2 linked regions of the Astyanax mexicanus genome follow. The protein of the gene in region 1 interacts with the protein of each later gene in a pairwise test. Links are inferred from orthologs where the notes say so. Each region holds a gene or a part of one and is shown on either strand. Other genes may lie near its edges.

Region 1 (3,753 bases):
TTTGAATGGGGATTCGTTCTATTATTTTTTTTTCATTTTGATTCTTTTACAGGAAATTACTTTTAAGGGCATTTTTAAGTAGCTTTTAATGGCTATTTGATGATTCGATGATCTAGAAGCTTTTAAATAAGCGGCATGGTAAGACACCTTTAAGTATGTAGCATATGTTTAAAAGCTTTTAAATCTGTGGCATGATTTAGAAGCTTTTAACCTTCAGCATGATTTTAGAAGCTTTCACGTCTGTGTGGTGCTGGGACAAGGCAGTGTGAAGGAGAAGGAGCTTTGCTTTTTTTATTGGTTTGATTTATTAAAATCTGTTTGTGGTCATCTTATTTTAAGAAATGATTGATTTATTATAATGCACTCTAAGATGAGAGCATGACTGCTGTTTGGTTTAAATAAAAAAGAATCAGCAAAATCATCTTTCTTCACTCCCACTCTCTCCCTTTCTTTTTTCTTTCTCTCTTGTTCTCCCTCTTTTTCTTTCTCTCTCTTGTTCTCTATCTCTCTCTGTCACAGTCACTTGTTCTCTATCTTCTTTTTTCTAACTCTTGTTCTTTCCCTTTAGTCCTGTTCTTTCTCTTTTTCTACTGTTTTTCTCATTTCCTTTTTTTCTCCCTCTTGTTTTCACACACTCTTGTTCTCTCATTCTCTTTTTCTTGTTCTCTTGCTTTCTTTCTCTTTCTCCCTCACACACTCTTGTACTCTCTTGTTCTTTCTCTTTTGCTCTCACACACACACTCTCTTTTTTCTTTTTTCTCTTTTTCTCTCTCCTTTTCTCTTGTTCTCTTTGTCACACACTCTTTCTCTTGTTCTTTCTTTTTTTCTCCTGTTCTCTTTTCCTTTTGTTCTCTTGCTTTCTTTCTCTTTCTCCCATTCACACTCTTGTTCTCTCTTGTTCTTTCTCTCTTTCTTTCTCTTGTTCTTTTTTTCTCTGTCATACACATCTCTCTTTTTCTCCTTTAATCTTTTTTCTTGTTATCTCGCTTTCTGTCTCTCTTATTCTTTCTCTTTTTCTCTTTTGTTATCTCTCCAATTCTCTCTCCTTTTCTCTTGTTCTCTCGCTTTCTTTCTTTTTCTCCCTATATTTCTCTCACACACTCTTGTTCTCTCTCTCTCTCTCTCTCTCTCTCTCTCTCTCAGTGCAGGGTGGTCTATTCCCACACACTCCTCCTCCTCCTCCTCCTCCTCTTCTTCTCTTGTCTCTTTGCCAACTATGTGAAACGCAATCCGGGCGCCAGGAGTTATTTTAGACCCTCGTGTTCTCTGTTTCTTTCTCTCCACCTCGAGAGGATCATGGACGGAGCGCTGAGGGGATCCAGCAGCTCCTCCCGCCGGTTTCAGCTGAACCCATTCGGAGTAAAATGAGGGACCCGAGCCGCCTCCGCTCCCCGGTCACTGCTGCTCCTCTCCTGGCCGCTCTTCTCCAATGTCTCTGCCGGTAGTCCTGCCCGGTTCCTGCTGTCGCTTAGCCCGGGCTTCTCTAGCCCCTCACTTCGGAGAGCCCTCGCCGTCTTCCAGAGGCCGCAGCCGCTGCTGCTCGGCCGCCGCTCGGTGGCGAATGTCCGGCTCCCAGGCGCGGCTCTCCCCCGCGCTGCTGCCCGCTCGACCGCTGCTCTCGCTCGGGCTGCTGCAGCTGGTCCTCGGCTGCTCCATGGTAGCGCTGTCCTTTGGGGCTCTGTCCCTCAGTAACTCGCCTCCCATCCGGAATTCGTGCCCGTTTTGGGCAGGATCTTCAGTGAGTACCTCAGTGTCTGAGATTTAGCTTCATTTTTAGTTATTAAATACGTGTCCTGCAGTGTTTGCTTTGTGTTCCGTCGTGTTTATAAAAAATGTAAACAAGCTGCTTCCTATAAGATTTTCAGTCTGTCATGTTTACATTATATAGGTTTACCTGCATGTTCCAGTTTTCTTTGGTTGTTTTTGAGTATGATTTATAGTAGTGGTAGTGTAAAGCTGTTGTTGTGAACACCACAGGTAAGCTTTAGCTTATACTTGATTAGCTAATTAATTAGTGTTTGATTGAGTTAATAGGATTTCCCTGCTGAAAAATCCACCCCAATACCAGCTTTTGCTAGTAGCTGGTTTTGATGGTCTTTCAGGGGCAATGTGCTTGAATAGCTGGTTACCAAATAAAAAAAATGATGGATTTGGTATACTGCTTCAAAGCCACATTATGTTTATGTGAACTTCAATTTTGGTCACAGATAGAAAAGTTATAACCCAGCTTGTTGACTAACTACTCCCAGTATTGTCTATGTTGCTTTTGAGTTTGGTCATGTTAGTCCAGCTTGGTCTTGTTGGTCAGGTTGGTCCTTCTTATAGAACCAGATAAACCATCAAACCCAAACAAAAAAAGTGTACTGAAGACCTAATCTGACAAACCATTTTACCCCCAGCAAGGATATAATGAACAGTATATGACCACAATTCTGTTACCTGCAATTACTTTCAGTGACCTCAAGCTTTGGCCATATTTATCTCAAATACAAACACTGAGATGAGCGGATGACCTGTGATGTGTTTATAATGTGGTGATACAGTAGCGAGTCAGTGTTTATAGTTTTTGGTGTGTTGTAGTATTGTTTCCTTAAGTACTGACATATTTAGACAAACACCTTCTCATTTGATGTTTTTTCCTTTTATTTTCTACATTGCAGTTCATATTGAAAACGATGAAACTACTTAATAAATAATATTTTTTCATAGAAACAGTGTTAAACCAGAATATTTTTTTATTCGATTCTTCACATCAGTCCTGATTTGCTTTAATGACAGCTTTAAACAGTCTGGGTCATTTTTTTCTCTTGTTCAGCTTCATAAGTCACTGTGAATATTTTTCTAACAATCTTGAAGTGGTTACCTGAAGTGTGTAAAGTCCATATGTATTTCTTCATAGTATATTTCTTCAATATTAACCAAATATTAATCTGCACAAAAAACAATGAGAAGGTGTGTCCAAACTTTTGGCCCATGTATTGCTAAAGATTTCTCTTATACAAACACACTGGCCTGTAGTGTACAATTTCTCTCATCTCGGATGAGGTTGATCAGATGTGTTTGGTGTCTAAAATTGTTTTTTTTTGCTAAAGCTTTGAAACTATACTAAACTACTAACTATAGTAAAAATGTATAATAGCTATATTTTACAAAAGTAATACTTATCATAAGTTCAAGTCCAAACTAACGAAGCAAACTTCAGGTACCAAACATGTCTTGGCCAATCAATTACGCTCAACTATGTAGCTATGTATCGATTAGCTATTACATAAGAACCACTGACAGCCGCAGCAAAAAAATATATTGATTATCTTGGTCTTCAGTGGGATTTAACATATTATGCAGCAAGTGAACAGTCATTTTTGAAGGTGATGTTAAAAACACAAAACATGGACAAAAATCAGGATTTGACCCGCTTTGACAATAGCGTAACTATGACGGCTAGACAACTATGGGCTTAGAGCATCTCTTAAACATCAGGTGGTTGTGGGTTTTTTTCTGCAATGTGGTCCAAAAAAGGACAACCTGTGAACTGGCAACAGGTTAAGGGGCACCTTAAGGGGCAGCTCATTGATGCAATCTGTTCAGGCCCAAACTCACAACATACAGAGCTTAATGGATCTGCTGCTGGTAACATGTTGGTGCCAGATACCACATGATGCCTTCAGAGCTAATGTGCAGTCAGTGCCTGACAGAATGGTCAGATCGGTTGTGGTGGCACAAGAGTGACCTACACAAAACTCAATATTAGTA
Region 2 (3,753 bases), on another chromosome or scaffold:
AAAGCTTTCCTCTATGTCGTGGCACAGGAGGGTCACCTGATCTGTTGTTGATCTGCCACTTCGGAAACCAGCTTGTTCTTTGGGCAACTGGGGGTCAATCACTGGGGTGAGGCGTGCCAGGACGAGACGCTCAAGAAGCTTGTAAGGAACACACAGAAGTGAGATGGGCCGGTATCCCTTTGGGTCATCGCTTGGCTTGTTCGGTTTCGGGAGGGCTATCACCTTTGCACAACGCCAGATCTTGGGCAGCTTTAAGTACCGGAGGCATGCAGAGAGAAAGGAACAGAGCCAGTCAGTTGCTTTCTTGCCTTGGTGTTTTATGTACTCAGAATGGATGCCGTCTATGCCTGGTGCCTTGCCAGTCTTCAGGCATTGGATTACCAGTTCAAGTTCTTGCGTTGTGAAGTTGTTAGATAGGTTGGAATCGCATCCTGGGGCCCTAAGCAGCTCATGGACTCTTACTGATAAGAGGTCTTTATAGGTCTGTAGAGACTGAATGCGCACCATGCACCTCAGTGTTTGCTGCGGCTCTGATTTTTTACATTGCCTTTTACAGTTAGAGTTGCTGTCATTCCTAGTTGCTTCCACTTTGTTATATCACTGACAGTTGACTGTGGAATATTTAGTAATTAGAAAATTAACTGGGCTTGTTGCATAGGGGGCATTTTATCACGATACCATGTTGGCATCCACTGAGCTCCTGAAAGCTGCCCATTCTTTTACTAATGTTAATAGATTCAGTCTTAATGTCTAGGTGCTTGGTTTCATACACTTGTGGACATGGAAGTGATATGAACATTTGCCATTATACCGCATGTCACACACTTAGCAAAACCACATAATGGAGTTTAAAATATGGAAATCACTGCTCCATAAAAGCCTTCAGAAGAAAGTGTCTATCTATAAAAATCTCTTTGCCAGCTTCTATATATAAAAATGTACAATCTCAATTATCCCATTCAATTGCATTAAAACAATAATTTGGTAAATAAAATGTATTCGATTAACCTCTAGTCCTACGCTTCAGTGCTGGCCTAAGCACACACACACACACACACACACACACACACATACAGCAGCAGGATGCACCAGTTGCTGCAAAAGTCAGCTTATTACCCCACATTTTGGCTCCATTTAAGACTAGACATTATATTTAGCTGTATGTTCTGCTTATGATCTGATCTTTAGTTTAAGTGTACATCCAACAGACTCAAAAACAGTCTAAAATTCACATATATAATTAGCTAAGTCCATAAGTCCAAGTCATGTTACTAGCACTGTAAAAAATATAAACTTTGCTAAAATTACCTGTTTAATTAATTCTAAAATTAAGTGTCAAGAAGGTCACCAACCTTTTACTGTCTTGTAAAAAACAGTTAAGTTATACATTTCCTCAGCAGCCAGTGAACTCAAATTTTGTTTATTACCGGTAACTAGCTAAGCAAGCTAAGCTAAGTTAGCGTAGCCCTGTGATATGCTAACGTTGCTAGCTAGATCGTTAGGGGTACTCTAACGTCTTAAAAAAGTCAAACGTTAAATAAACAGCTGTCACTTCACCCACCAACCCAAAGTTAGCTAGTTAACCTTAATGTGGGGAGAATTAGTTTGTCAACTAGGCAATGCTCACAAAACAACCGAGACGATTTAACTTATCTAGCTTAGTTAAGTAGTTAGCTAGCTAGCTATTTCGTAGCTTTTTCATATCAGCTAAGCTAAGCTAAGCTAGGCTAAAGGCAGGCACAGACAGTTGGCTAGCTAGCTATCTATGTTTGTTTATTAGCTAACAGTTAGCTAATCTAATGACCTAACCTAGCTTTATTTTGTCTAATTTTGCTCATGCTTTGTTTAATTATATCCAGATGTTTGTCAAAACCATTTAATATGTTACTGTCACAAGTCACAGCCTTTAAAACTGAACCTAGGTTAGCTTCCTAGCTCATTTGCTCGGATTTAGCGGAATCCGTTCCACCTTAAAACGGTGCATCCGCTCCATTCTGTCAGATCAGCATTTGCAGCATTCAACTGCTACACCATTTAAGGTGGAACGGATAATTCCACTAAAAACCAACATAAACCTCGCACAAATCGGCAGGGCCTTGCACTAGTGACCGCCATTTTTACTCAAACTGCACTGAGAGTGTGTGTGAAGGTGTGTTAGAGTGTGTACTAAAGTGTGTGTGTAAGCCACAACAGCTGACCTTTGTTAGCTTAATAAAATAAACATGAAGAAATACTTGCCGAAGCTGTGAACGCAGCTTATAACAAGCTAGCTAGCTAGCTAACCTAGCTACAATACCATATAACTACCAGGGCAATCCCGGGTTAGCTGTTAAAACCCCTCCAATACAAATAACAACATCAGCAGCAGCTACACAACATCCAAACAAGCAAACAAACAAATCAGAGCTGTGTAATAAATATAAACTCACACAGTCCGTCGCCCTCCTCCTCTCAGCGGAGAGGTCGCAGTCAGTGTGTTTTCCTGCTGAGCTGTTTCTGCTACTGCTTCTGTAGCAGTGTGTGTGTCTGTTCTCCAAAGCTGGACAGGCAGAGCTATACAGTCATTGGTCTGACCATCTCTCTCTCTCTCTCTCTCTCTCTCTCTCTCTCTCTCTCTCTCTCTCTCTCTCTCTCTCTCTCTCTCTCTCTCTCCCTGTGTCTGTCTGTCTCTCTCTCCCTCTCTCTTTCTCTCTCTCTGATATCCAGATTCACACACCGCAGAGAAACCCCTCCACACGTCCAATGACGTAATTTAAAGAACCATGTAACTTAGTATCTCTTATAACTTCAACATTCAACAAAAATATTGAAGTTATTACTTCAACTAAGTCCAAAGGGCAAATCTTGTTCTCCACCTTACTTACCTACTTACAGTACCAGTCAGTGGTTTGGACACACCTCTTCTCATTTCTCATTTAATGGGTCCTATTTTACACCCTGTGCAAGGTGAGTTTTGTGCTATCATACACCACGCCAACAGCCCTGTACTGTTTAAATAGTGACGGAGTTTACAAATATATCACATTTCTGTAAATTTCTGTCATGTTGCTATCTTGGCAGTGAAAAACATAGGTGCGCCACTTACTGATTAAACTCTGACAACAGTCAACATGCTCATTGCTATCTTGGCAATGCAGGTGTGCTGTGCATGCTCAACGGCATGCATTACACACACACGCAAGTCACACAACAGAGCACAGACTCAACTTTTACATCAACAATAAACAAAACACACAATAAAATAACATTGCTGTCCCTGAAAAATGACCTGGTCACACATCTGCAAAGAAGCACAGAAGCGATACGCCATCGGCCAAAGTCAGAGGGAATGGCAAGAGACAGAGTGATTGGTTTATTTTACATTATGCTTAAAACATAACCATAAATAATTAAGAAAATTAGTACATGCCTTTAGCTGCATACAGATAGGTACAATAGAGCCCAATGTGTTTTTTTTTACATTGTAAATTTAATATTGAAGACATTAAAGCTATACAGGATCACATGAGGAATTATTGTGTAAAGAATTAAAAGTGTTAAGGTCTTGTCTCAGTTAAAGGCAGTGTTAATGATCTAATAAAAAGAAAGAGACTGGGTATCCATGGGAGAGTTCCAAGGCAAAAACCTCTGCTGATCAAAAATTCTCAGCCCTACTTGGGTTCTGCAGCAGGACAATGGTCCGAAGCACAAGAGCAAGTCCACTAAATGGCTCAAAATTAAGTTTTTGGAGAGGCCTAGTCAAAGTCTGATTGA

The links.
Region 2: the proteins of fam189a2 (region 1) and NEDD4-like E3 ubiquitin-protein ligase WWP1 interact in binary tests that used the Homo sapiens proteins (3 or more experiments, as listed by UniProt). The link is inferred for Astyanax mexicanus from reciprocal best matches to the Homo sapiens genes ENTREP1 and WWP1.

Annotation. Positions count from the first base shown.
Region 1 is NC_064429.1:24,065,842-24,069,594, forward strand, and holds the start of fam189a2 (protein FAM189A2), read left to right. Parts: upstream 1-1,148; 5' UTR 1,149-1,429; coding exon 1,430-1,738; intron 1,739-3,753. UniProt on the Homo sapiens protein: Functions as an activator of the E3 ubiquitin protein ligase ITCH in the ubiquitination of the CXCL12-activated CXCR4 receptor. Thereby, triggers CXCR4 endocytosis and desensitization, negatively regulating the CXCL12/CXCR4 signaling pathway.
Region 2 is NC_064413.1:45,898,554-45,902,306, forward strand, and holds the start of NEDD4-like E3 ubiquitin-protein ligase WWP1, read right to left. Parts: upstream 2,478-3,753; 5' UTR 2,430-2,477; intron 1-2,429. UniProt on the Homo sapiens protein: E3 ubiquitin-protein ligase which accepts ubiquitin from an E2 ubiquitin-conjugating enzyme in the form of a thioester and then directly transfers the ubiquitin to targeted substrates.